Diceros bicornis minor: one gene and its partners. The protein of the gene in region 2 purifies or fractionates together with the protein of the main gene of each other region. This does not show direct contact. Links are inferred from orthologs where the notes say so. Each region holds a gene or a part of one and is shown on either strand. Other genes may lie near its edges. The genes, in order: YEATS2, KAT2B, TADA2A and TAF9.

What was found.
Region 1: the proteins of KAT2B (region 2) and YEATS2 purify together in Homo sapiens (affinity purification with mass spectrometry; 3 studies listed by BioGRID, with this or other methods). This does not show direct contact. The link is inferred for Diceros bicornis minor from reciprocal best matches to the Homo sapiens genes KAT2B and YEATS2.
Region 3: the proteins of KAT2B (region 2) and TADA2A purify together in Homo sapiens (affinity purification with mass spectrometry; 6 studies listed by BioGRID and IntAct, with this or other methods). This does not show direct contact. The link is inferred for Diceros bicornis minor from reciprocal best matches to the Homo sapiens genes KAT2B and TADA2A.
Region 4: the proteins of KAT2B (region 2) and TAF9 purify together in Homo sapiens (affinity purification with mass spectrometry; 3 studies listed by BioGRID and IntAct, with this or other methods). This does not show direct contact. The link is inferred for Diceros bicornis minor from reciprocal best matches to the Homo sapiens genes KAT2B and TAF9.

Annotation. Positions count from the first base shown.
Region 1 is NC_080754.1:39,887,838-39,894,923, reverse strand, and holds the start of YEATS2 (YEATS domain-containing protein 2), read left to right. Parts: upstream 1-4,071; 5' UTR 4,072-4,202; intron 4,203-4,375; exon of another isoform or gene 4,376-4,445; intron 4,446-4,559; 5' UTR 4,560-4,661; exon of another isoform or gene 4,662-4,680; intron 4,681-4,872; exon of another isoform or gene 4,873-4,936; intron 4,937-7,086. UniProt on the Homo sapiens protein: Chromatin reader component of the ATAC complex, a complex with histone acetyltransferase activity on histones H3 and H4. YEATS2 specifically recognizes and binds histone H3 crotonylated at 'Lys-27' (H3K27cr).
Region 2 is NC_080741.1:25,827,773-25,835,242, forward strand, and holds the start of KAT2B (histone acetyltransferase KAT2B), read left to right. Parts: upstream 1-4,457; 5' UTR 4,458-4,468; coding exon 4,469-4,762; intron 4,763-7,470. UniProt on the Homo sapiens protein: Functions as a histone acetyltransferase (HAT) to promote transcriptional activation. Has significant histone acetyltransferase activity with core histones (H3 and H4), and also with nucleosome core particles.
Region 3 is NC_080757.1:25,286,682-25,294,685, forward strand, and holds the start of TADA2A (transcriptional adapter 2-alpha), read right to left. Parts: upstream 3,020-8,004; 5' UTR 2,973-3,019; intron 637-2,972; exon of another isoform or gene 525-636; 5' UTR 424-524; coding exon 399-423; intron 1-398. Other genes in the region: ACACA (acetyl-CoA carboxylase 1), read left to right, coding at 5,586-5,617. UniProt on the Homo sapiens protein: Component of the ATAC complex, a complex with histone acetyltransferase activity on histones H3 and H4. Required for the function of some acidic activation domains, which activate transcription from a distant site. Binds double-stranded DNA.
Region 4 is NC_080740.1:1,274,030-1,280,690, forward strand, and holds TAF9 (transcription initiation factor TFIID subunit 9), read right to left. Parts: upstream 2,331-6,661; intron 1,525-2,330; 5' UTR 1,508-1,524; coding exon 716-1,507; 3' UTR 503-715; downstream 1-502. Other genes in the region: AK6 (adenylate kinase isoenzyme 6), read right to left, coding at 2,331-2,423, 3,792-3,819; cell cycle checkpoint protein RAD17, read left to right, coding at 4,260-4,275, 5,504-5,607. UniProt on the Homo sapiens protein: The TFIID basal transcription factor complex plays a major role in the initiation of RNA polymerase II (Pol II)-dependent transcription.

The DNA of each region.
Region 1 (7,086 bases), on a different chromosome or scaffold from region 2:
AGATGTCTCGATTTAATATTTTTAATTTTCTACTTGGTAGAGGCATGGGTATAGAGAAATCGTTCTCTAATACGAGAAAACAGCAGTGTGAGTAAAACCATAAATGGCAACTGATGCTCAGAGTAGGATGGAGGAGTCAGGAAGACAACAGGGGGTAGTGGGACCTACTTCAGCCCTCCTGAAGGCACTAGGGCTCCTCTAAATGGGATTGCAGCTTTCCAGATGCATCCGTGGTGCAGCAGCTGAGCTCTCAGACTCAGTGCAGGACTGCTTGAGTCTGCAATCCAGCTCCACTTCTCAGCTGTCCAACACGTTATTCAACCTTTCTGTGCTTCAGTTTTCTCTCCCTTAAAGTATGAATAATAATAATAAAGTTGTTACTTAGATTAAATTTGTGAAGTGCTTGGAACACTGCCTGGTACATAGTGTTAGCTAATAACTAATTATAGGAATGTAGGTCCAGGTTACCACAGCTTCTGATTTTTCAGAGAAGGAGAAATCCAGGTTAGTATGTGAAATTTCTCAATATTTGGAGTGTTGGCTTGTTTAAAGCAGTGTGACATTGTAGGCTGTGACTGTGCAACCCCTCTGAACTGTACTATCTTCCACTGCAATCTCACCAGCTCTCACCAACTACCTGTTGACAACAGTATTGGCGGCAACTGACGGCACCACCCATCAGTTCTCCTCTGAGTCTCGGAACCACATGTACAGATGCCTGTTGAGTCTCTTCAGGTGGATGCCTCAAACTTAAAATGTCCCCAGGGGAATTCTTGATTCACCTACCCCGCAACATACAAAATCTGTTCTTCCTTCAGTCTCCCTCCTCTCGGTAAATGGCACCACCACCCACCATTTGCCAAAGCCAGGAACCTGGGAGTGACCCTCAGTTCTTCTCCTTCCTCATCTTCTCCTTCCAGGCCCACCTCCAGTGGTTGTGCGGGTGATTGCTGCTTGACTAGGCCTTGCCAGGGAGGGGCCTGAAATCCAACCACCAGCTGTGCCCCAGCACAGGGCACTGTCCCCTTAAAGGCTGGGGCAGCTTTTTCTCACATGCCATTAGACCTAGCAGGGGCCAGTCCCCTTCCCCTTCCTCGTCCGTCCCCTCCCAGTTCATTACCAAGTCTCTCAGTATTTTCTCCACAATTCTTGAATCTTTCCACTTCCCTCCATCTCCACTGTCTAGTGTAAGCTACCCTCATTTTTCACCTGGGCCACTCAAATTGCTTTCCAACTGTCTGGCTGCTGCTTTGTTCACACACCCTTCCAGGCATTCCCCACCCATTTGCTGGGTAAGTGGTCTTTTTTAAAGGGCAAATTGAATACCTTACTCCTCCGCTTAAAAACCTTTGATGACTTCCTGTTGTTTTCACACGGTAAAGATCAAAATCTTAACCCACCGCCCTGCGTGATCTTCCTCCTGCCTCACTCTCAGCCCCACCCTAACCACTCTGCTCTTGCTTCAGTGACCCTGGGTTTCTCTCACTTTGTCTCAGACTTAATCGTGCCCCAGCAGCTCCTACTGCCTTCAGGTTCCACTTACTATTTTTTCGGGGAGGCCTTTTCTCCCTCCACATTAGATCTGGTCCCGCTATGCTGTGCTTTCTCAGCACCCTGTCCATTTCCTTCCTAGATCTTATCTGTTATTGAAATGTACACACTGCATGCATACGTACAAACATCTGTAGCTATGTTATTTCTCTTTAAATGTTGCAAACTTTTTCATGGACTCTCATTCCTATTGGGGAATGGGCTAAACTTAAACCTGCCAATGAAAGTTATCTGGTCTTTTTTTTTTTTTTTAATTTTTTTTTTTATTTATTTTTCCTCCAAAGCCCCAGTAGATAGTTGTATGTCATAGTTGCACATCCTTCTAGTTGCTGTATGTGGGACGCGGCCTCAGCATGGCCGGAGAAGCGGTGCGTCAGTGCGCACCCGGGATCTGAACCCGGGCCGCCAGTAGCGGAGGGCGTGCACTTAACCGCTAAGCCACGGGGCCAGCCCGAAAGTTATCTGGTCTTAATAGTCTCATTTTGAGTAAACATTCAATCAATTCAAGGTTGCAGTCCTGTCAGAACTTTCCCCTTCCTCCTCTTGAGTTCCCAAGATGGCCTGTGGGATGCAACGGAAGCTTTGAGGTGGTGGCCAGAAGGGTCTCAGATCTGTGTGCAGAGCTGTAGCCTGGGTCCTCACTGGCCTGTGCTTCCTGGTCACTCCTGGTCACCTCAGCCCTGCTGGCATCAGCTGCTGAGGTTGTTGGCTGGCAAGCTCATGATCTGTTGCTTCAGCACCTTGAGAGTCTGACGTCTCACCTTCCCACTCCCCAATCCTCTATCCCTGCTCCTCTCCCCAGCTGACTTGGGAGCATTTCAGTTCTTGCTGGGGTCTTTGGCTCTGCCCATCCTTGAGGTCTGAGCCACATTCTCCAGCCATTCCCTGCCAATCAGTCCATCATTGCCTCTGTTTAGGATTACCAGGCCTCTGGCACAGTGCTCACTGCCCCGTCCATGGCTCTCAACCATTCTACTTTCTGCTTGCCTGGCAGGGAGCATACAGAGAAGTCTGAGATTCTGGCACGCCATCTGCAAGTTGTGGACACCCAGCAGCATCATCTCAGACCCCCTCCCTCCCCAATGCCACTGTCTGTTCCTGAGCCCTGCTCAATGTGAGACTTCTTGCCAGAATCCGGCAGCCTTCCAAGCTGGGCCATGGGAAGTGGGCTTCTCCCTCCCCCTCCACTTAGCTGGGTACTTCTATGCCTCTGCCTCAGGGTTAGACCCCAAAAGTAGGGGAACACTGACACACTCATGATAACCTCTTACCCTACCTCTTTCTCCATGAAATTTATTTTTATCTCCCCAATTCCTGTTCTCTCTTTGGGTCTTAGCTTAAGCTCAGGGAGGCCTTTCCGATAAAATTGACTGCAAATTTCACAAAGGCAGGAACTGTTTTGTTCATTTCTGATCCTCAGTGCCTAACACAGAGCTTGGCACACAGTGCCAGAACACAGAATAGAAATGCAATAAAAATTAGATTAATAAATATTGTTAATCTATCTTTACCTCTAATAGACCTTAAGGTCAGGAGACCAAGCGTGACATATTATAAATCCCTCTATTTCTTTCCCATGAAGGGCTCTGGAGTCAGTTCCTGGCCCTATTAGCCATTCATTCAACAAATATTTTCAGAGTGCATACTATGTGAAATGTACTAGGCTTGCTATTGGAGATAAAGAAGTAAATCTTTTAAAACATTTTTATTAAACATTAAATACATCCAAAAATTGGTAACATATATGTAAAGTACAAAAAATTACGAAGTGAATCCCCTCTAAACCTACGACCCAGTTCCAGTGGTAAACCTTTACATAGTGAGGAGAAGAGATTGAAGGCGGACAGAAACAGATCACTGGAGACCAGTTGGGAGGCTACGGCGGTCTTGGACAGAGAGGTGACCAGGGTCTGGGGTAGGGTGGTACAGGGAGAAGAAAAGCGAAGAGTGAGCTCAAGAGATATTTAGGACGAAAACTGGACTTGGTGGATTGTCACTCACTAGCTGTGCGACCTAGATAAGTCTCAATCTTTCCGAGCCTCAGTTTCTGCATCTGTAGAACAGGTTAGAAATAGCTATTGTTATTTGTATTCCTAGCACCTAGCACAAAACTTGCTACGAGATGACACACACAAAAATCATAGCCACTGTTGTTATTACTGGCGAAGCTTCATAAAGGCCGGCAGAATGAATATTCTCTGAAACTTCGGACTGGACCTCGCCATCTTCTTCTAAAGAGGAAACTGATAAATGACGCTGCCTTTCCCAGCACCGACGCCCGTACTCCCCAGGCAGCGCAGCAGCGCCGGCCAGGGTCAGAGTCTGGGCCCGGGCCAACCGCCAACCCCCGCGCGGGCCCAGGCCCCAGCACCAGCCTGTGCCCCGGCCCCGCCCACATCCCTGCGAGCTCCGCCCCGGGGCCGCGCGCGCGCGCCGCCGCCGCCGCGCGCACCCCGCCCCGCCCCTGCTGCTGACGTGCGCGGCGAACGGGCCGAGCGGTCTCCGCCGAGCCGTGTGCTTCCGCGGGCTCCGGGGTCGCTGGGGCCTCGTGGCGGGGCGGCTCTGCGGGGCTTCGTCCGCTCTCTCTCCTCGCCCGGGCCCTTTCGCGGCCCCCGGCGGGGCCTGTGCTTCAGCCGGAGACCGGGAAAAGGGTGAGTGTTGGCGGGAGCGGGATCGGACCGGCCGGGCGCGCGCGCCGCTCTCCGGAGCATTGTCTGGGCGGGGGCGGCGCGGGCACGTGCGCGCCCCTCCCCCACCCGCCGGCGCGCGGGCCCCCTGCCGAGGGGAGGGAGGGAGCGGGTGACTGCGGAGAGGAGAGGATCGGGCGCTGGGGGCTGGATCCACGGTGACTGTGTCTGTCAGGCAAGTCTCCGAAGCTGGAACCCGGAATTTGGGTGTGTGTGAGGGTCCTTTCCTAAGGGGCGCAGCGCTCTCTGAGGGGATGGGGTCCCTTGAGCCCCAGTGCCCGGAGCTTTTAGGATGTTAAGCTTGGTGCCCTGTGCCACCAGTTGGAGACGAGATTTGGCCCCAGCACTGGCAAGTTGTGAATTTACCGACAAGAATCCTGGAATCTCCGTCTCCATCCCTGCCGTCCCTCACCCCGGTGAAGGGTGAGTAGGCTGTAGAAAGGTAGGAGGATCTTCCAGGGATGGTGTCCGAGTTAAAGGTGTGAGATAGTGCGGGGTTGGGGTGGAAAGCTTGGGAAAGTGAGTTCTTGGAAGAAAGGCTGGTTTGGTGGGTTGTGGCAAGATTGCAGGAGACAATGAGGTTTATATCATAACCTTTTTTTTCTATTGTGAATGTGATTATGTTAAAAACTAGAACGTAGAAGACGAAAATATCACCAGTAATCCTACAGCCCTGACACATCATTCTTGGAGTTTTGGTATGTTTGCTGATATTTTCCTCTAAGCTTATAACAGTTACAATGAGTTTACCTACAGTTTTGTACTCTCTTTTCTCATTAACGTGTTTTCTCATATTTCTCATATTTCATAACATGTAATATTATATAGTATTCAGCAATATCATTTCCTCCTTAATAAGCAAGTAGCAAGTATTCATCATAGAAAAATGTAAAAATACAGTACTGGTAGTTTTATTGCCTAGAGATATTATCATTGAGTGTATGTTTTTGGTTGTGTACAGTCTTTGAAAGATAGGAGCAGATGATGTCCTGATTAGGAATTTAGATTTTATGGGAATATTTTGAAGGTTTTAAGAATGCAAGTAGAATAATTTTGACTGCTCTGTGGGGGAAGAGGGCAAGAATGGAAGCTGGGAGATTAGTTAGGATGCTGTTTGCAATACCTGGCATAGGTCCATGGCAGTGGAGATGGAGAAGACTAGAAAGATTTTAAAATATTTTGGAGGTAGAATGAGCAAGACTTGGAAGTGGATTGGTGAGGGAAAGGGAGAACTCTGCTTTTGATATTTGTTTTAAGCAACTCTGAGTAGATGGCATGTAGTGAGCAAGTGGAGGATGGAAGAGAGAAATTTGAGGTGGGAAAAAGAATGAGTTCTGTTTTAAATTTGAAGTGCATATTAGTTATGAAGTAGATATGGTGAGGAGGCAATTGGATGTACAGGTTTGGAACTCACGGAAGAGAGAGCCTAGAGCTGGAGATAAAAATTTGAAATACTCAGTATATAGATGATAATCAAAGGTATGGGACTGTATGAGATCACTTAGGAAAAGAGTATAGATGGAGAAGTGAAAAATCAGGGCTCAGACACTCCCGTACTTTGAGGTGTGGTAGAGGAAGAAGATTGAGCACAGGACAGAAGAAACAGCCAGTGGGGTAGGAGAAAAAGCAGCAGACTGGTGTCATGGAAGCCAAGAGAGATAGTCTAAGTTTCTGGAAGATGGAGAATTGGTTCTTTAGTGCTTCTGAGATGTTTAGTGAGATGCTCAGTTGGATTTGGCAGTGTGGAGGTTATTGGTTTTGGTCGTTGGTATTACTGTTCAGAGTTCTAGAAGTGGGAGGTGGAAACCAGATTGGAATAATTGAATGGAACATAAGGAAGTGAAGACAATGAGTGTAAATTAGAAAAAAGTACCCCTTCTTCAAGACACCTTATTTCCATCTGCCCTCAAACTAAATTTTTTTTTTTTTTTTGTGAGGAAGATCAGCCTTAAGGTAACATCCGTGCTAATCCTCCTCTTTTTGCTGAGGAGGACCAGCTCTGAGCTAACATCTATTGCCAATCCTCCTCCTTTTTTTTTCCCCCAAAGCCCCAGTAGATAGTTGTATGTCATAGTTGCACATCCTTCTAGTTGCTGTATGTGGGACGGGGCCTCAGCATGGCGGAGAAGCGGTGTGTCGGTGCATGCCCGGATCCCAACCCGGTCAGCCAGTAGCGGAGTGGGCGCACTTAACCACTAAGCCACACGGCCGGCCCAACCCTCAAACTAAATTTGATAGATGAAAAATAGTGTCTTGTTTAATTTTTCATTCCTTGATTACTAGTATGTTTGAACATTTTTCACATTTATTGGCCATTTTTGAATTTCTTTTCGTGTCCTCTGTGCATCTTTTTAATTGTATTTGTCATTTTCTAATTGATTGTCAAGAGTTCTCTATCATTAAAAATATATAGCTTGACATAAAACTTGCAGAATTTCCCACCCGTGTACAGTCATATGTCACTTAACAATGGGGATATGTTCTGAGAAATGTGTCATAAGGCGATTTCATCTCTCTGCAAACATCATAGGGTATACTTACCAAAACCTTGATGGTATAGCCTACTATACACCTAGGCTCTATGGTACTAATTTTATGGGACCATGTTCGTATGTGCGGTTCATCATTGGCCAAAACCTCGTTATGCAGCGCATGAGTGTATTTTTACCCCCTGGAAATAAATGCATTTATTACATAGGCTCCATCAGGAAGGACATGGTTAATAATGGAAAAACCATACTTATCATTTAACTCCTGTCTACTTTTTTTTTCACTTGTAGCAAAATACACATAACATGAAATTTACCACCTTAACCATTTTTTTGGGGGGGAGGAAGATTGTCCCTGA
Region 2 (7,470 bases):
TGCCAATCACATTTAGGCCCATTCATATTAAATATGGGAAATTGTTATTTAAGAACAGCTAAAAATAAAAATGAATAAAATAGCAATAAGTGTATATGAGGCATGGTTAAGACTCACATCAGAAATGACGATTTAATCGGGTAAATGCTTGAAAACTAGAGATTTTATGTCTCCCCACCTTAGGATTCATTTTATAAATTTTTTTCAGTACTTTTTCTTTAGAAGTATAGATTTTGTTTTAGAGATCATTAAAATAAATGTCCAGTACTCACAGCCACTTTCTCCAGTGGGAAGTCGGCCCAAGGAGCTCCACACTGAGACGTCTACCTGACGTGTCTTTATTTTACACTCATGTCAAGCCGCTGTCTCTAAAAGCAGGTGGCTGTGCCAGGAAGGATGTTAGCCACTGGCCACACAGTGGGGCAAACCTGCTCTGATACTGCCTGGTCCAGACTTAGCCCTTGGTGTCTGAGCCCTCAGTGGGGACAATTTCAATCCACCTGTGGGGTTCAGGTGCATTACAGAAGCTGTGTGGGCTTGGAAGGAAGGAAGATGGCAAAAAGGTAGTAGACGTTGGAGTAACAATAGATGGTCACAAAACTTGCCTTTCTTAGGTGGGACGGCATCTTTGAGCAAGGGATACTAGATGAATAGGGGCCAGCCATGCCTTCTGGGGGAGGGTGTCAGGCAATACAGCACATGCAAAGCTCCTGAGGCAGGCAAGAGCTTCCCGAGTTTGGCTGGAGTGTACCTCACACCAGGGAGAAGGGCCAGGGGAGGTGAGCCTTGCCAAACAGGTTAGGGAATTGAGACTGTAATTTAAATGTTAGGAGAGGCCATTGGAGGGTTTCAAGGGGAATTGTGGGATCAGGTTTGCATTTACAGTTGTAAAACTCTGTACTGTGAAGAGGGGATTGTGGTACAGCAAGAGTAAAAGCAGAGAGACCAGAAGGAAGTTGTTGTTGGCACTCTGGCCGAGAGGTGACAGCCATGGAGACAGATATGAACAGATCGAAGATAAAGTTTACAGGTAGAAATGACTACTAGTATTTATTGAGAGCTTTTTTTGAGTGAGGAACTGGGAATACATAAATGAGAAAAATAAGTTTCATTCTCAAGGGTGCCCAGTGAAAAGAAACTACATTAATGAGTTTACTGTGTATCTTTCTAAATCTTCCTCTTGGTTTTGCACTTTTGTATGCACTCATTGAACATATACAGAATTGTGCTTATATGTCAATGTGAGTTTGTTTTTAACATAAATGGTATTATACTGTACAAGGTTCCTTCAACAGTATTTCTTGGAGATCTGTCTAGGCTATTACATTTGTATAAAAGTTATTCTTTGTAACAGCTGCGTAACACTCTATAGGATTAATATACCAGAAGCAACCTCCAGTGGTCAACCCGCCCCCTGCAACTCCTACTCTCCAAGCCCTTTATTTTCTAATTGTGGCTTCCTTACCTCAGTAAGTCATGCCAACCTAAATAAAGAGGTAAACTGAGGCAAGCTTGAACCACCAGAAATTGAGTTTATTTGGTAATAGCTGAGGAACTGCAATTCTGAAAACGCATGCTGTAGCAAGCTACAGGCGAGTCCATTAAAGGTTTTGGGTGGGCTGGATTTCTGGGCAAGGAGTGCAAAGAGAGGGAAGTCCAGCCAGCAGTAAGTTCATTGGCTTGAGGCTAGGGAGAGATTCTTGGCTGATGTTCATTGGTCAGGAGGTAAGTCTTATCTTCTGTAATTCAGGCATTTATGGGAAATCAGTCTCTCAGTTCTTAACTTCTGTTCTTCTGAGGGTGAGTCTCCATTTCATATCCTCCAGTTCCATTTTAGATGGAAATCCTTTCACAGTTGTAAATACTTTGTAAACTAAAACATTGCCTTTTATTTTCTTGGTACCCACTTTGTAAAAGGGCTCTGCACACAGGAGCTTACTAAATAAATATTCACAACAGCCTGACTATGAAGAGGCAACAAGCCTCCTGAATCCTTTGCCCTTGAAATGTCCCTGCCTGGTGCTCATAACGCTTTGAATAGGTCGTGAAAATGTGGGCCTTCCGCCTAAGGCAGTATGTCATCTGGGTGTTCAGAGCAGGAAAATAATGAAAAATAATGTTCAGTTGATGTCACAAGCCATTCACCATTCAGACAGTGATGGTTTTCAAGGTGGATTGAAATGAGGTTGTTTTCTTCTGCTTCAAAAGATCCTGGAAATAGCCTGCCTCCTGAATTCTGGGGACAGCTTGGGAGGGGGAGGTGATGGCTGAATTAATATTAAAGCTGGATTTCCCTCCTCAACATTTTATTATGGAAAATTTCAAACATACAGAAAAGTTGAAAGAACTGCACAGTGAACACTCCTATACCCACTACCTAGATTCAACTATTAACATTTTGCTCTACTTGCTTTATTATATATCTGTTCATCTGCCTATTGGCCCATTCACAGATGCATCAATCTATCTTATTTCTGCATCTCAAAGCAGGCTGCAGATATCAGGACTCTGCACCCCTACACTTTCAGCATGAGAACCATTAACTAGAATTAATATTTATCTTTTCTTTTTTTTTTTTACTATTTGAGGGAAATTTATATCCAGTGAAATGCTCAAATGCACATATTTGCTAACATCATGATGTTAGATTTTGAACAGGGCATCACAGCCTTTAAGAAGCCCATCCTGCTTCGGTGAGAACCGCAAAAAAAAAATCTGCAAAACACCTCAGAAGAGCCAGCAGGCAAGTAAGTGTCCTGATGGAGCCTGATGAGTCTGCCATTTCAGACCTTCACACCGCGCGGAAGTTGGAAGAGGCTATTGCCTTCTGTGCAGTCTAATGTCACTATTTAGATCTACAAACTTTTTTTATTTATCATTTTAACATATCACTCTGCATTAAAAGTCAAAAGAACATAGAGAATCTAGAAAAAGGATAGAACAAATTAACTGACAATAACGGGATGGGAAGGGGAATGTTTCCAGGGAAAGCACATTCCTTAAGGCGTCTCTGGTTGGAGCTGGGCGAGAGTTACACGGCATGCAAAGAATTTGATAATACGCACATTATGACCCATATTACATAAAAATTATGACTCATATTACAAAAGCAGGGCACTTGTGAAGGGTCCTGAAAAATAACGCTGGGCTTTTGCAAACTGCTTTAGAAAGGCCAACCAAGGGTGCACAACTTTCAAATGAAAAACTGAAATATGCACTCCACAATACTAAACACCACCCTCATTGTCATTAACAATGAAAACGACAGTTTTCAACAGTTTCAACAATAGATGAAAATGCTGAGTTGAGTTTTTTGTGTGTGTTTTTTTTAAGTTTGAGGCCAAAATCAACACTCATTCTTTTGGATGCTGCTTAAATTTTTTTCACGGTTAATATGCATGCTGGTGATATCAATTTTGAAAACTATGGAACATTATAGAAAAGAAAAAGGCAAGGTTAGAATCCCACCATGAAGAGATGAACCGTATTAACCAACTTTTTGTATTCAAACTTTTCCCACTGCGCATAGTTTTCATTCTGACAGCGCTTTCAGACAACCGTTCCTTTAACAGCCAGCACTTTCAAACAAAATTTACAGAAAATATTGATTCACAGTCTTTTCCTTCCGCTGGCAGATTAGATCCAGAAATTGCTATAGGAAGAAAAGCATTCTTAAAAAAAGTTGGACAGAAAAGCGTTTAAAAAAAAATAGGAAACATGACGCTTTTATTTTGGTGAATTAGCAACAAAGAAAAGGATTAGCATGGACGGGTACTTTTCAAAAATATTTTTTTTCCTCTGGCTCCCGCTAGGGTGGAGGAAGTTGTCTCTGTTCCGAGAGAGGGTGGAATAGAGGCGAAGAACAAATAACTGGGAGTCTCCCGCGCCCCACCGCCCCCGCCCCCGGGGGGGGGGCTCGGCAGGGCGGGGGTCGGCCGGGGGGGCTGCGGAGACGGAGGCGGCCAGCAGGTGCCTGGGCTCCGGCCCCCTACCCCCACCCTCATCCCCCCTCGCCCTCACCCCGAGCGTGGCCTCGCCCCCTGGCGGGCGAGCGCCGGGCGCCGAGGCGCGGGGGTGGGGGGCGCAGAGCCCGCGGGCCGCGGGCCAGAGGCCGGGGCGCCCCCGGTGCGCAGCCCCGAGGAACATGTCGGCGGCCAGGGCGCAGCGCGGAGCCCCGGGGAGCACTGGGGGAGGGCGTGTGCAGTGGCGGCGGCGGCCGCGGAGCCGCTAGTCCCCTCCCTCCTGGGGGAGCAGCTGCCGCCGCCGCCACCGCCGTCAGCGCGCGGGCCGCGGCCGGAGCGCGCGGCGAGCGGCGCGCGGGGCGGGCGGGGGCGGGGAGGGGGGTGGGCGCAGGGGGCGGGAGGGCGTGGGGGAGGGTCTCGCTCTCCCGGCGACCGGAGCCCGAGCGGGAGACCCTGGCGGCGGCGGCGCCTGACACTCGGCGCCTGCTGCCGCGCTCCGGGGCGGCATGTCCGAGGCTGGCGGGGCCGGGCCGGCCGGCGGCGGGGCGGGGGCCGGGCTCGGGGCGCTGCCCGCACAGCCCCCCGCGCCGCCGCCCGCGCCCCCGCAGGGCTCCCCGTGCGCCGCCGCCGCCGCCGGGGGCTCGGGCGCCTGCGGACCGGCGACGGCGGTGGCGGCGGCGGGCACGGCCGAAGGACCGGGAGGCGGCGGCTCGGCCCGGATCGCCGTGAAGAAGGCGCAACTGCGCTCCGCTCCGCGGGCCAAGAAACTGGAGAAACTCGGAGTGTACTCCGCCTGCAAGGTACGGGCTCGCCGCGCCGGACCGCCGCGGGGGGCTGGGGCCCGGCGGCGAGCCCCCTGCCCCCTCCCCCTCCCGCCCCCGCCTCCTGCCTCCCGCCCGGGGCCGCTGCACCGCGGAAGTGCTGCTGTCGCCCGCACCCAATTAGCTGCTTCTCGGACAAGAGTCCTGTTGGGTTGGAAGAAGGGGAATCACCAAGACCGAGAACCTTTCATTGCTCCCCTCGGAAGGAGTTGCCTCTGCGTCCGCGCTCCTGGGTTGCCCTGGGGCTTTGTTGCTCTGTAGGAGCCCGCCAGAGGCGCCTCCCAGGGAGCGGAGCAGTGCTCAGTGTGTGGCGAGCGCCCCGGGGCCAAGGAAACATCTTTTTGGGGATCTTCGCCCGTCCTCTCCCCGTGCCCCATTGGAAGGAGCTAGGTGGGAGGAGTGAGGGTGGAATAGGCTCCCGGACTCCCGGCGCTTTGGGAGATCGAAGGGGCGGAACGCGCAGGGTGGGAAGAGGGGCACAGCCCGACGCGAGGGTCCTGGAGCTCCGGGCGCTCTCGGCTGAGGGCAGAGGCGCTGCGGCGCGCGGTGACAGCCTCGTCATTATTGTATTATTACTTGTTTAGTTAAAAGGCTGTCCCAGCTGCTCCGGGTGTAAACAGGATTTGGCAAGATGACAGCCCAGCACGGCGGGCGCGACTGCTTAGTTTGAGGACGCACGTTTCTTGCCATCCCCTCTCCGTCCCAGCCCTCGGCACCCCGTAGCCCCTCAGCTGCAGATCCAGATGTGGGCGCCGTGCTCCCGGGGTGGGAGGATTGCCCGAGGCCGCGGGGCAGGCTGGCCCTGCGCTGTCAGCAGCGGCTTTGTTTTGACAGGGTGACAGCTGAGGGGGGCGGGGACTTGGCCTTGTCAGCTCCCGAGGCCTGTGGCTGAGGCGGGGAAGAGACACAGGCACACACCTCCCACGTATTCCTCCCGCCTACTGCAAACACGGTCAAGTTCCCGGGTTTCAGATTCACACAACTCAGCGGCAGTGGCCGCTTCTGAATTTTGGACTAGAGATTATTAATCCTGCTAGAACCCGGTTCCCGGTGATGCTGTTTTTAGTATTTACAGGAGCTTCTCAACCGCAAGGAATGTCTGTGCTTAACCCCTTTTTCAGCACCGTTCACATCCTCATGTGTATGTTGAATGCCCACTGTGTACCCCACACTGGTTCAATAAATATTTGTTGAATGAATGTAGGATCCAGCCCATTGCTTCTCAGACTTTAATGTGCGTAGGAGTCACTGGGGGATCTGGTGAAAATGCTGACCCTAAATCAGTAGGTCTGGGGTGGGGCTGAGATTCTGCATTTCTAACAAACTCTTGATGATGTGGCGCTGGTCCACTGACCCCACTGCAAGTAGCAAGACCCTAGTCCAGAACCAGACAATATATTAGTCCCTTTTAAATTCAGCAAAGAAAACTGAAACTGTGAGGCAATAATGCCACACGGCTGGTGTTTCTGAAGAAGACAAGCAAAAAAGATAAAGTGGAGAGTGTGCTTCTAAGAAAGGTGAAAAGCCAGGAGTTGGTTCTGAAGGGCGTTAGACTGGTGAGACAAGACTTTGAGTGTGGTAGGCAGAAGGGAGAACTGCTCAGAATCAAGACCAAGGTCAGTTACGTGGTGGGCTTGGCCTTGGGCAGCCAGAGTGGGCTCCTGGAGGAACTGTGTCAGCTCTGTGTGTGTCCCAGCTGTTAGTTGGGTTCCCATCGTGAGCACCTTCTCTCCCTGCTGCCTGCTGTTGAAAACTTCATAGCTGAAAACTTGCCTGAAGTTTTAGTCCTATCTAAACCCACGAGCCTATGTGCCCTACAATGATATTTTTGATCCTTTTATATTTCCATGAGTGAGATGTAGCACCTTTTCTAAAGTTTGGGACTTGAGGGTTTCATGTTCACATTCGCTACCAAGCTTGTAGGTAAACTTATAGGGAAAAATCTCTCTTAGTAAAGGCCTTGCTTCCTGCTCCTGGGAGACTCTGAGAGTGCCTATTTTTATTTGCTCATTCATTCAGCAAGTATTTAGAGGAGTCCCAACTAGGTGCCAGGCGTTGTGCTGGATGCTGGGGCTAAGACACCCAGAATCTGTCCATCTGGAGCTACCGACCATGCGTGTGTACATGTGCACACATGCGTGTATTGCAGGCCTGGGAAGGTGGGCAGTGAACCAATTCCAGTGACGTTCAAAAAAACTGCTTTGTTAGAGTGGCGTTAGAACTCAAAGCAGGGCAGTTCATGGGCTGCAGCACGGAGGGGTGGGGATGGCTTCCTGGAGGAAGTGTCAGTGGGTACTAAGGACTCTTGGCAGCGCAGGGCTGGGTGAGGTGAAGCTTCTTGTAGTGGGGAAACTGAAAGTTATGAAAGCTTGGAGCTGGGCCAGCAGGAGCGAGCGCTCCATTGGCTGGGCCACAAGGTTGGGGCGGTGTGTGTCCAAGAGGGCATTGGAGAATCCAGGAGTCTTAACCTGGGGAGTAACATTATCTCAGATTTCCTTTTTTTTTTTTTTTTTAACTGTGCTTGATTGGGGTGAGGGGGTATGAGAAAGCAGAATCTGTGGTTCTTTCTCAACTGGTCTCTACCCTTCGTATAAGAAAGACCAAAAGGACAGATTCTTCTACCTTCTGTCCCTAACCGGCCCTTGGCAAGTTGGAGAGAGTAGAGGTTAGGGAATGAGGAGGGACCT
Region 3 (8,004 bases), on a different chromosome or scaffold from region 2:
ACTGTGGTTTACTCTTAGAACCCAAGTTCCATCTAAAAAGGCAGGGTGGCACTTCCTTTATTCTACCACTGACTCTTTCCTATCAAGGCATCTGAAATATGTTATTGGTTCTAATGAGAAATCCAACTGTTTTTTTAAGTCTAACTGCAGGTTAATCATACTATGCCTGGTCCATCTGAGCTTAGTTTTCTTATAAGACCTAGGGTGATATGTTTGTGTCATGTGTTCAGCGGGCAATCAATAAGTATCGGTTGATTTTATTTTGATTTGATACTTTTAATCCTTTAGGATCAGATTCACAGAGCTTGAACTTCAAAGTGCTTATTTTTCTTCTCTGATCAGCTTCCATTTCAGTTTGCTATTAATATTCACCTGGGACTTGTTCCCACAGTACTTACTGCTAAAGGAACCCAAACGGTCCATGCCCTAATTGGCAAAAACTGCTGCTTTGATCTTCCTCAATGCAGCGCTCCTTCAAGGAAATTTCAGAAATGGCCAACACATACACCAAAGCTTGATGACCCCTATGAACAAACAAAAGTGGCACATGGATCAGGAAATAATTCAAAGGGACAAGATAAAGAGAAGATAAGGCAACATACTCAATTCTACCACATCCTAGCTTTATAATGCTAAGCAAATCATTCTATAGATAAAGCCCGTTTCCTCCTCTGTAAAATGGGTATGATATAATAGCATCTACCTCCTGGAGTTGTTGTGACAATTAAATATCAAAATCCACATAAATAATATACCATAGTGCCTGGCCCATAGTAAGCCCTCTATAAAGGCTACGTACCTCCAATAAACAACTATTGGTATTCTCTGCCCAGCATCACTTCTCCGCTTAGCCCTCTTTCCTTTGAGAAACTGACTTTCCCACATTTCATATGGTTCTGGCGGGGTTGCCAATCATAATACTCCATCCCCTGCCCCCAGAGCAGCTAAAGCAACCAGATCTCTTCTTACAGAAATCTGAATCCTGAGTAAGACATATAAGGACAGAAGGCAGTTGAAGCTCAGTCATTCACTAGTCAAAGAATTTGGTCCATGAGTTCTGGCTGTTCAGATCCTCATCTCCAAGGGTGGCTCAACTGTTTAGTTTTTTCCCCTCATTTCTCTTTCCAATAATACTTCAACATGAATGAGTTTCTGTTACTAGAAACCAAGGAATTCTATCTGTTATGACATACACTTGTTCACTAATTTACTCTCTGAACAAAATTTAATAGGTATGTACAATGTACAATGATCTTTTTTTTGTTGTTTTGTGAGGAAGATCAGCCCTGAGCTAACATCTGCCAATCCTCCTCTTTTTTTGCTGAGGAAGACTGGCCCTGGACTAACATTCACGCCCATCTTCCTCTACTTTATATGGGACGCCACCGCAGCATGGCTCAACAAGCGGTGCGTTGGTGCGTGCCCGGGATCCGGCCCGCAAACCCCGGGCCGCTGCAGCAGAGCACGCACACTTAACCGCTTGCGCCACCGGGCCGGCCCCTACAAAGATCTTCTTGAAGGCAGAAATGAAATCATATTTCACACTAAGCCAAGAAAACATCCTTCCTTCTTCTAAACTCCCATAGCTTTTCATCTATCTCTTTTCTGGCATTTTTCACATTCTACTTTCTGAGGATTATTTCTGAATGCTGAAATTCTGAATTTCCCCCATTTTTAGACTAAATGAAAGCAGGGACTACATCCAGTACAAATTTGTATGCCTTAAAGTACCAAGCACAGAGGAAGAACTCAATAAACACAAATGTGATGGGCAAATGTTAGTCCTATAAAAGTTTAATTCATCTTTAGTTCTCCTGGAGTGACTTCTTTCATCTGATATTTTTAGCTTGGGGAATAATTCATCACTAAGCGTACGCAACACTCAAATAACATGGCTGTCAATGAACTGGTCTTTTTTGGGGGTAGGCTGGAGTGGGATGGTTCTCCCTCTGCTCTAGTCCCAGGAAAAGTTAGTCTTTGAAGAAAAATGAGTTTAGCACGGGGTATTATGCGCTCAGTATAATAAAATAATGGCCAACATTTATTGAACTTTTCTCACATGCCACATACTGTGGTACCACTCTATGTGGATTCTCTCTTTGAATCCTCACAACCTTCTGAGGCATGCTGCTTTTTCAAAGAAGGAAAGGATGCTCTGAAAGAATGATACTTGCACAACGTCTTACAGGTAGGGAACAGCAGTGCTGTTTCAACAGGTTAATAGAAATTTCAAGTAAAGGATGTAGACACAGTCTGGTAAACACTCCATGTCATAAGCACAATATTGCAACGAGCAGAACCTTCTGTTTTCCTCTCATTTCTTCTCCTGAGCCATTTCTGACACTAACATCCATGAAAGAACGGGTGCTAGCTCCAAATTAACATTTGCCACATTCAAAGAAGTTAGTGGGAGGAGGAAGGAAGGTACTGTGAAGAACAGCACTCAGTGTGGTGCAAAGGACAGGTGTAGGCTTTGGAGTTTTGCAGACAAGGTTCAAATCCTCACTGCGTTCCTTATTAGCTGTATATTCTCGGCCAAGCCATTTTACCTGAGCCTCAGACAGCCTCAGCTCTGAAACGGAGCTGAAATATTTACTTTGGAAGGCCTACTTGAAAACTCAATGGGAAACATGGGTCAGGGGCAGGACACACCGTGGCAGTTACCAGCGCAGCTACGCGCCCCATTGCACAGACAGGAATACCGAGGCTGGGCTCCTGCGGGGCCGCCCAGAGGGCGGGACGCGACAGGCTCGCCGCGGGGCGGGGCCCAAGAGGTCATGCGGAGTCCCGCACCGCCCTCCCCCACAGCCGGCGTGGCTGGCGCCTGCCGCCTCCACACCCCCCGCGTCTCTCCGGCCACCGGAACCCGCAGCGCCCCTCCCGCGCCGCACCTCGCGGTCCCCGCCTCCCCCTCGTCCCCCTAAAGGGGCTCGCACCCGCCACCGCCCGCCCTACAGTGCCTCGTGCCTCACCTCGCCGCGTCCCCCTCCTCCGCGCCGTGGAGCCGCCAGCCGCGCGCGCCCCTGGGGCTGCGTGCTCGCTCCCGAGCGGCGCAGGCGCGAGCGCGCCGCGTGCCGCGCGCCTGCCGCCGCCCCCTCAGCCCCTGTCCGGGCCCTCGCCGCGTGCCCGTCGCTGTCCTCCCGCAGAGGCCTGGGAGGATGGGGCTGAGCAGCTGGCCTAACCCTTGAGTCCGACCAGTTATCAGTTTTCCCGTGAGGCGCGTTGCCGGTCGCCAGACGTTTGCCGGTGCGTGGTGCCGTTTGATCCCCTCCAGAGGGCGGTGAGGTGGAGCGGGCCGGTACTGTCCTGCTTTTGTGTTTTTAACATTCCCACCCCCCACCCCTGTTGCAGCAAAGGAAATTGAGGCTGAGGGACTGGGCCCAAGGACGGCGAGCAGTGGCCGCCTCTCCAGTCCAGGTCTTGCAGTGCTGCCCATGGATTAACCAGACTGACTGAATGGTTTAAGGGTAAACAGGGTACGTTTTATTCAGATGCTCCTGGAACGTCGCAATTACCTCCTTTGGAAAGAACCATCCCCTCTTTGGGCTTCAGAGGCCCAGATTGAGGCGCAATGATGAGAGGATGTGGTGGGCCACTCTGATGTCAATCTTGAGGGCTAGGTATGTCCCAACATCTCTTATTACTACTACTAATTATTATAATAGCTACCATTTGTCGAGTATTTATTGCATGCCTGGCATTGTTCAAAGGAGGTTGTATACATGGTCTCATTTAATCTTCAAAAACAACCTTATGAGGTAGACACTATTATTATCCCCATTTTCCAAGTGAAGATATTTAGACTCTGGCTTTTAAATAATTTGGGATCATACTGCCAGAAAGTGTTGAGGAAGGTGATTCAAACTGTGGTTTATCTTAACCATTATGCTGTTACATCTGTTTAGAATTCTGTCTTGCATAAATTTGCCCAATGTCTTTTAGAATTCATTTACACATTCTGCCTGTGTGGCCTCTTTATTCATTTTTTAGTATATGAGTAATACAAGTTCATTCTAAAGAAAAAATCAGAAAATTCACATGAGCAAAAATAATGTGAAAACCAGCTCCCACCATGTTAAATAAACAGTTAACATTTTGGTATACACTCTTCCAGAAATTTTCCTATGCATCATGTCAATAAATACGGAGTAGTTTTACATTTGATATATCCTGAAAATCTGTTTATTCATTCATTCAACAAATATTTAATGAGCAGACATTGTTCTAGGTGCTGGGAATTCAGCAGTAAACAAAACAAAGTCTCTGCCTCATATAACAGTGGGGGAGATTGACAATAAAGCAATACACATAATATATTACTAAATAAGAGATAATGCCCAGTAATCTGGCAGGTTTTATGGAAAAAAATAAATCAGGATAAAGGGGTAAGAGTGATGTGGGGTGCTCTTTTAGATGGAGTGGACAAGGAAGGCCCCTTAATGGCACATAAGCAGAAATCTAATCATTAAATGAGAGAGGCAGCTACGTGGATTTCTAGAGGAAAACTATTCTAGAAGAGAAACAGCAATTGCAATGGCCCTGGGATAGAGACTTGCTTGACATGTTGGAGAAGTAGCAAGGAGACCAGTGTGGCTAGAGCACAGCAAATTAGAGAAATAAGTTGGGAAACAGGCAGAAGCCAGATCATGTATCGTCTGGTAAGCCATGGGTGGACTTTGGATTTTATTGGGATGTGATAGACTACCATGGAAGGGTGGAGAGGAAAGGCGTAATCAGATTTGTTTTAAAAGGATCATTCTGGCAGCTGTGTAGAGAATAAATGGTAGAAACATTAAAATTGCCCTTTAAAGCATAAATTGTCCTTTTACACAGCAGTTCAACAGATTGTTTATTAACATTGGTGTTTCACGTACATCTTTACAACCACTCTCACCTCCACAAAGAAGAAATAGGGTCAAACACTTAGGATATCTTCATGTCTTTCTCATCTAAACTGAAAATTTTCAAGCCTGACTAGGGCATATATCCAGATCTGGACGTCACGATTGTCAGCAAACTGAATATGAGTCATCAGTGTTGTACTATTGTGGAAAAAACAACCTCACATAATACTGGAATCTATTCATTAAAAATGTAGCCTTTAAGCACCTGGAAATTACCCTTCCTCTTCAATTGATGTTAGGCCCTCAGAATTCTAGGCCCCAATTTAGTCATTGTGCTTAAGAAAGATGTGGGAAATTAAAATGTGGAGTGAGAAGAAGGATAACCCAGTGCTTTTCTGGGTTTTCACCTTAACAATGTAGTAGATAGTGGCATTAATTATAAGACCAGTTAAAGGGAAAGTGAAGGACCAGCTGAAGGAAGAACAGTTTTGGAGGAGAAATTAAAAGTTCTGTTTTGGATCTGTGTTTTGCAGCCCAAGTGGAAATGGCATATGGGAGTTGAGAGCTCAGAGGAGAGGCCAGGGCTAAAGTTGTATAACTGTATTAGAATTGTTTCTTTGGATGTGTGTCTTCTTTAGACAAAGCTTGAGGACAGACACTGTCTTTTCTTCTTTGTAACCTCAGTGCCCAGAAGTTCATCCTGGACGAATATTTGTGAAACGAACAAGTAAAGGCAAAGGTATGGATGAAGTCACTCAGGCAAAATGTATAAGGTAAAAAGAGAAGATATCCGATCTATGCTTTCACTGGAGGTTTAAGCACCTGAACGTGACTTACAAGTCAGGTGACCATAAGTCCCAGTTTGCTCAGGACAGTTCTGTTTTACTCCTGTTGTCTCCATATAATTAGTAATATTGTCTTATTTCACTCTCAGAAGTGTCTCAGTTTGTACAATAAGTTGCATGGTCGCTCTTTGTAGAAGGCCCTTCAGGGTCTAGCATCTCCCTGTTTCTTCATCATCACTGCCCTGTCTTACACTTCATTCTCCAGCCAGACGGAAGTATCTCTGTTTCCACTTATACACTCTGTTATTTCCAAGCTTCCTTTGCCACTGTACCTCCCCTTCAGCTTAGACATCACTTCCTCGGGAACATTGCTCCTGACCCTCCCAAGTCTGGGTTAAGTAGCCCTATTACATGCTTCCGGTGCACCCTGTGTTTAACCTGTCATAACAGAGATGACTGAGTGCCTTGTTGCTCCCCTCACTAACCATGTCTGTGAAGGAACCTGAAAAAACACCTTTTGTCCTCTTTAAGACAGAAATTTACATTAATAATATCCAAGATCAGTCCAGGTTGGACAAATATTTTTGAAGACTGACTTTCAGGACAGACTAATGGCGCATCCTCCAAGCCCTTCCATTCTTAACTAACTGAGAAGGTTGACTTTTGAACTGAAAACCCAACAAGGAAAACTGTATCCTACTGTCAGGCTCTGTAACGTGGCTGCCGTTGACTGAGTCCAAAATATCCCAACAGTTCCTCTTCAACTACTAAGCTGCTGTGGTTAGAATCAGAAGTGCGGTTTCTGAGCCTCCTCCCTATTGAAATGATTCTCTGCCATTTCTAGTTACTTACCATGTCTTGAATGCTGAAAGACTTTATAAACTTTATCTCATCTAATATTTATTTTTCCTGTTAACTGAGGTGGCACTTTGTAGTTTGGTGTACAAATAGATAAAAACAGAAAGTCTGAAAGTCCAGCTATGCCTTCTAGGTTTCAGCTTCCTTCCCTTTAAATTCTGAGATATACCCAGTCAATGTAAATTAGCCAGAGATTTAGGTCCTGGAGCAGGGCCCTTTGCCATTTACAGGGGCTTTTCAAGGCAAGGAGTTTTCCTGTGACCCACTCAGTAGAGACGGCTTCACTCCCCAAAAGGCCTGAGCCTCAAGGGTTTGAGCTCTTAGCTCTCAGCTCTTTGAGTTCACACACTAAGGCACTTTCACAGAAGCCCTGGCTCCCCCACAGCCAGCTGAGGATTGGTTCGTTTCCTCAGCCTCTGCTAATGCCTCTTGCATTCAGGAGCATTGCCCTCCTCCTTCCTTCCCCGCTTACTGTACCCCACCCCATCTTTCTCCCTTTGTGGCCACCCTAGTCAAAGAAGTTAGAGAATCAATCCTTTTCCTTCCGAATGTTCTTAGACTGCTTATTTAATTTAATCCACCCCACCTATGACCAGTCTGCAGAGGAAGAGTTGAAGCACTTCTGCTAATCTACTTGAAGAAATGTAAGGTCTACATATAGCCATTTCTCCACACGGTGGCCTGTCTAGGGTGCTTCTATGTAAGAAGGCCCTAAAGATCTCAAAGGTGAACAGAAGGGAAAAACAATTTCTGCTAAAGGGCCCTACTGCATCCCACTTTACAGATGAGGAAAAACGAGGCTCAGAGAGGTAAAACCACTTGCCCCAAGTCATTCAGTTACTAAGTAGCACAGCCATAATTAAACCAAGATCTGTCCAAATGTAACTAGTAAACTGCCACTGACTATTTAAAACTGAAGAGTTAGCAGGTGTCAGGATTTTCATAATGCCATGGCCATTAAACAGAGTTTTCATGACTCCAGGCCTCTGCTACCCATCTCTTCTGCCCCTTCCTCACCTCACTGACTTCTTTTTGATCTACACAAAATGCAAGATATCTATCTAATGAGTCACCAGTCTTTGGGTAGAATCCAAAAAATTAGGTGAACTAGGAATGTTATTGTTGCTGAGTGACTTGTGTTTGTCAGAAAAATTTTAAATGCCTGCTAGGCAGCCCAGCTGCATACTTGTCAGCCTGATATACAGGGCCTCCACCTTTTGAGTCTCAAAACAGGCTCCTAAAATACATTACATCATTTGATGACAGGCAGTCTGTACTCTTTTGCAACCAACAAGTGCCTAATAAATGTTTGAAATATGATTTTTAAGGAAGCTGGCACAGTTTAATGTAATTGAAAAAGCATGGACTTTGAAGTTTTCTTGAATTTGAATTCTGTCTCCACTCATTACTACCTTCAAGAATTTAGGCAAGTTATCACTTTTCTGTGCCTCTTTTCTCTTCATATGTAAAATTAAAATAATAATATCTAATTCATAAGAGTTTTGTAAGGATGTGAT
Region 4 (6,661 bases), on a different chromosome or scaffold from region 2:
TAAATGCCAGAGCCAAATTAAAAACATGAGCATGCTACTGACTTATATAGTATCAAGAATATGACAACAAAGATGCACAAAACTGACCTGCAAAAAGGGATACTGGAAAACATTTAAAAATTTTTTAAAGTGGGGAGATCCTGGGAGGAACACCAAGGGTCCTTAAATATAACCAAAGGGATAGAAAACTTGGACCTGGGAAGCAGGTGGGCAATTGAGGAAGATAAACCCAAACAGATGAGGATTCACTCTGAATAGAAATCCTGACCAAGTGGCCGACCCAAAAGGAGACATGGTTAAGACGTAAACTGGTGCAGTCTGAGAGAATGGACCAGTAGAGTGCCTCACACACCAGACTGCACTATGACCTACACAGCTGGTGACATTAGTGGTAATGAATAGACGGGAACAACCTCAAGTCACTGCAACTGTTACTCCTGTTCTAATAATGAGGGGAAAAGTGCTTCTAAACATATAATTGTCAAAGTACCAACAATCAAACTGATGAATGACAACTTTATTTTTTACACTTAACGGCTGATGAAAAACCATTACTAGTCCTATTAAAAAGAATCCAACATCTCAATTGAAAAGTACGGTAACTATATTTACTCATTAAATAGTACTGAAGTTTTCTAACACATCAGCATGCATGCTTAATCTCAGTACAATGGATTCAAGAGCAAGTATACACATTACAAGCGTCAAGGCTACATTACAAATTATCATAGTCATCATCATCGTCATCGTCATCATCATCTTCACGCTTTCTTTTCGATGCATTTGATGCTTCATTGGCAGTATTTTGTGATGACACCATATTAGTAGTAATAAGAATGTTTTTGGACCCAATTAATGATGGATTAATCAGAACATTCTGAACTGCTGATGTTGCAGGAATGGATGCTTTTACAGCTGGGGACTGTGAGGTGGGCATCTGCACTGTAAACCTCTGCCCTGTGAGGGACACTGGAGTCCCTACCTTGGTTGAAACAGACATGGTTTGCGGGGTTGGTGTGCCAAGTGTGGGAGTACTTGGTCTGCTAGTAACTGAACCAACACTTAACCTCGGAACTGTTATTCTCCCCGCAGAAGTAGATGCCTTTTTTTGTAAAGACTTAAGTCTATAGTTTGGAGCAGTCAAGCAATATCTATCAGGTGGCAACCTAGGCCCTGAATATGGCTTGATCAATGGCAAAGGGGTTTGATTTCTTTGCCTTGCAATATCTAACAAAAAATCTCTTGGAGGAGGAGAGGTAAAAGACTGGTCAGCACGACACTGGATTGCCAATCGCACATCATCAGCATCAACAGTAGCTTTCTTAGCGTGGCTTGAATAAATTTTCGCATCATCTAGAATTGTGGTCACATAGCGGAAGGCAAACTCCAACATCTGATTTATAACTCTTGGCTCATACTCTGTAATGCCCATATCCTTCAGGATTTGTGCCATCATCTGTGCATCTTTCGGCATGCTCTTGGGAGAAGCCATCTTGCCAGACTCCATGCTATCCGGTGATCAGACTTCAGATCATTTGAAAGAAATATGTACATTAGATCAAATCTGAAATTATTACTTTAGTAGCAACTGTCAGGAACTTAAAAATTTTAAATATATGTTAAATTTTTAAAAATGCATTTAAATTTTTTATATGTATATTAAGTCTTGTTAATTTCAATGAGGTACATAAAGTTCCCTTCACTTAAATTTACTAAGTTTCTACCCTGTAAAAATCATTATAGACTATAAAAATATGAAGACACACATAAGGGAGTGACAAAACACCAGAGTAAAACGGGATAAAATAAGTAAAAACAAGTCTCACTTCAGAATACGTGCAGTTGTGTGCAGGCATGCAACTATCAAACTAATCTAAGAAAACGTCACAGGACATTCGTGTCCTAGTGCCTGAGTTCAAAATAACCAGTCCTTCCAGTGAGACCAGTATCCTCACTGTCTCCACAGATATGCTGAGCACCACCCAAATCTTTGCGTTCACCCATCTTAAAACATTCTTCCTCTTCCTCACGCTCAGGTTCTATGTATCTATCCTAAGTCCAGTCTCTTCACGGGAGCCTTCCCAATCATTACTGTCCACAAGAACTGCTAGCCAACTGTGGGGGAGAGGGGGCGGGGCGGGTAGCAATGTAATGGTCAAAATAACTAGGACACAGCATTTAGACACTTAACATTTTCTATGTCTATGGGTCCCCAACAGAGCATAAATTCCTTCACAGCAATCTTTCTCTGCTTTTTGTCCCCTCTCACAAGTATAGTACTAATACTCCACTCTATTTTTTTTTAAACAAATCTAACGAGTGTCCCTTACCTTCTCGAGCTAAATCACCCACATTAATGTATTTCAGGCCCGATCTTGAGGCAAGTTCTTTGCCTAGCGTGGTTTTTCCAACCCCTGGAGTACCTGAAAGACAAGCGACAGAGAAATACTGTTTATGAAATACTTATCAGACTGTAGCCACCCATCTGCCCTTCTTAAGGTTCCTAACAACTGAAATGAAAAGTTTCCTAATTAGCAATCCTCTGTGAATTCATATACACTATGACCTAATCAAAACTACCCAAAGCATGCTGAATGTCAGAATCTCGCCCAGTGTGTCTATGACGAGTGGGGCTTGGATGATTCTGATGCCAATTCAGACTGCCTGCCACCACCATGGAAATTCCCAGAGTAAGACTAGCCATCTCAGATAAATTATCATTTATTTCAATTTTTTTAAAAATTAAGAAATTGTTTATGGAAAAATTGCTTTTGACAATACGGCTTAATATCAAAAAAACAAGGACACTGCCTGCCCAAACAATTCAGATGTTGTAAAATCTTCCCCTTAAAAAATTTTAAAGGCTAAACGTCGATTTGTTGAGAGGCTGATCTGCAGCTCTCAGAAACAGACGGGACTTGTGCACTGCCGACAAGCTCATGTTTTGCTAAATTATAAAACTTTATTGCTTTGTTTCCACAAAGAGCGTCTCAATTTTCCTATGTGTTGCCATAGCACCTACACCTATTCGATTTGTCCTTGATGGATCAGATGGATTAGAAAAACCCATCAGCTTTTCCTATGACGCTATTAGCTCCTACAACGTAAAAAACTTTTCCCAAGTCAAACGACCGGCAATGACATTTTCTCAAGTCGTCAGGCGGCATTTTAGTGCCCCTCACGTATAACAGGCGCCTGAGCGCGGATCCAAAGACCCCGACGGGCCCCCGCGGTCAGCCCGGGAGCTTCACAGCATCTCTACACGGCAAGCGACCACACGCGCTCAGGAGACGCCCCTTCTTCTCGAAAGAAAAGGGAAAACAGCTTCGGCCTCTAACAACACACGCACACAGCAAATTAATCACCCTCCGCCACGAACGTGCGAACCCTTCTCCCCTCACCCGACTCGCAGCACCGAGAAGACAGACGGCCGGGAAGGCCTCGGGCCTCCGCCCACACACCGCCGGGGGCAGACGCCGCCCGCGCTCTCTCGCTGAAGCCCCACAGACCGCCCCGCCGCCGAAGCAACAGCAGCCGCTCACGAACAGGAGCGGATCCGGAGCCCCGCGGCTCTCTGCGCGGCGGACAGGCACTGTCCACCCGCCTCCGCTCCGCGGCCGGCCTCGGCCCACCGGACCGACGCGCCGGCCCTCCCCCGCCCCCGCCGCGAGCCCGCCACGAGGCCCGACAACGGCCCCGCCGCACGAAGGCCCCGAGCCCGCCCGAGGCTCCGAGCCCGCGGCCCGCGCTCTCCAAGCCCCCCTTCCGCCCCTACGGCCGCGCGCCCTGACCCGTGAGCAGGATGTTGGGAAGCAACATAGTCCCCGCGAGGCGACTCGAGGCGCCTCGGCCCACGCGCCTGCGCACGACAGGAGGAGCCGGAAGGGCGCGCTGCGGCGAGTGCCTGTGACCAAGGGGTCCTCAAGGTCCCGCGCGGCGGTCGCCGCCTGTCCCCGCCCCCTAGTCGCCAACCATTGGTTCCGTGGCCTTCTCTGACATGCCTCCATCGCAGGGTCCGAGGCAGGGACAGAGGTCGAGTCCGCGCTGTGGGTCAGGCAGGGCGCTGAACGCCTAAGTCACTCGCGCCGTTGGCGGCCCCCGCCCTTTGGGCTGCGTCGCGGAAGCGCCGACCGGTCTGGAAGGTCCCCGGGAGGCGGGTCCTCCGAGAGCCTCGGCGCTGATCCCGGGGAGGGTCCTGTGGCTGCCCCTCCGCCTGGAGCAGGGCCTGGGCTCTTCCGCTCCCCTGCGCCCGCGGGGGGATGCAGCTCCCGGCAAGTAAGACTGCCCGGCTGCGGCTGTGGTGTTGTGTGTCCAAAGGCGCGAGTCCGCTTCTCGGGCTCTCGTCGCTCCTCCCCCCGACCTGCCCATCCCATTTGGGGGTGAGACGGGTGGGGGTGCAGAGCGCTGGCCTGGAGCCGGGCCCGCGGGCTCGTCGCCGCGCTCCGCTGATTAGCAGCTTTACGTTGGATGAGTGTCTGAGCTTAATATGCCCTGTGCAGTGTGTGTGTGTGGGGGGGGGGGGTCTGCTAGAAGTATTCTTGAGGTCTCTCCTACCTCTGACGTCTCATTTCAGGAACCTGGCATCATCAGCGACAGTTATTTGCTTTTGGGAGGAGGGAACTGTCAGTCTTGTTTTCAAAGAGCGGCTGGAGTCCTGACCGTAAGAACGGTCTGCGTCTTTTATTTCGACCTGCCAACTGTATTCCTCAAATAGGTGTTTTTTCCACCTTTGTACCTCTTTGGAACTCCAGAGCAAAAGCTCTCTAATCGTGCACGATTTGTGTGTGTGCGACTTGTTTTCTACTGTGTGGAAGTATTTACACATTGTAAACTGTGTGCCTCCAAACTATAAAAAAGTTTAGTACACCTTCTAATTTATAAGTTTGTAGACCTTAAAAAACTTTCTTTCTGGCTAACTTAAAATTGGTGAATTCACTAGTTTGTCTAAACATTGAAGAATTATGAAAGTCGGGAAACACAATATTACCAAAAAAATTCCTAATAATGCTCAAATAAGAAAAACATATGTTGTAGAAAAAACCTACAGTAAGACTTAAAGTAAGTGATAAGACTGAATTCATTGTATAGTGGGGTTTTTTTGAAATTTTGGAAATGAAAAACTGCAAATAATTTGAAATGAAGGAAATTTTGATTTTCGGTATAAAAACTGCACAAATAGAGTTGTCTAATTTTTCTTAATGACAAAAGGGAGGTACACAAATAATATGGTTTTTCTGTTTTCTCCAATACGTTATTGAGTTCATATGAAAAACTTTACATTTATAACACCACAAATAGATTGACACAGTTACAGTCATTAAAAGTAAAATTTACTTTGGCATTTTGATTTCTTGCTTTGCCTGTGTTTGCTATGTTCTCTTTCATTAGTTCTTGAGCCTTAACTTTATTATGCTGTTGATTATATCAGTGTATATTATTTGCCGTACTGCTGTTTTACAGTTTTTCTTAATTTAAGATTTTTTTCCTTTCTTTTTTTCCCTAGGTGAGTTATACTTTAATGTACTACAGGTTGTATACTACGGATGGGAACTATCAAAGTTTATAATGTCAAAAACTTTTCTTAGACCAAAGGTATCTTCCACAAAGGTATGACACACTAAAATGGCCATGTAATAATTGCCCAAAAAGAATTATAATTTTTGTATATGTTCTTAATGACTTATTACTGCTATCACAGCAATGGTGCCCAGTATCTGTTGTGATTATTGACCTAAAAAAATCTAACAAGAAGTTGTGAAACAAGTGTACAGTAAAAGCGCAACGTTAGTTTTGAAAAAGCGTTTACGATCCCAGTCACAAAGAAAAGGCTAAAAGCTCTTGAATGAAAGAGCAGTGGAAGAAAGAGAAATATAAATTCAGTTGTAGTTGGTATTAAAGCTTAATAACAGGCTCTGCCTCTCAGAACTCATGTGGTTCAGTGTGCCAGTTTCTCAGCAAGGCTGGGGGTGGAGTGGGTTGTGGGTGAGACAGTGTCATACTCATGTGCAAGGTAGCTATTTTCTTAGTGGTGGATCCAATTTTTCTCTGATCTTAAGTAAATTATTTAACTTTGCTGTTTCTCTTTTTTTTTTTAGTCAGTGGGAGTCCACATTTATATAAGAAAACTATAAAATGTATAAGTAACATGCAGATCAGACCTTTTGTTATCAAAAGGTTTACTGTTATGTACTCTTAAAAATAGAGGAAAGGGCCCAAAATTGTAGCATAGTGACAGTCTTTTGAGAGAGGAAATGAATTAGGTGGCTATGCCTAAAATTTTCTCCCAAAGGTTTTCATTTTTTTTACCCACTGCTGATAATATTCCTAACCCTCTCCTTAAAAGAGGAATGAAGTGTGACTTTGCATTCATAAAATACTTATAAGCCCCAGCTTGCTTCTCCTGAGCCTTCTTTCAGCTCCAATTTCTGGTTCTTTTTCTCCCAGAAAGGAGCATTATCTAATAAATGACTCACAGCTATGGCTGAGTATTCTTCAAGGAAAATATAATCTTGGTTCCCACTTGTTAGCCAGGCAGGGAATTTCAAAAGCCAGGTACTAAGCTAGATTTTTCTAGATTTATTCTGTTGTAAAGTTAAGAAAACACATCTTAAAAATTCTAATTTTTAAGAAGCCTTTTTAAAACTCCTAGATATTTTTGGGG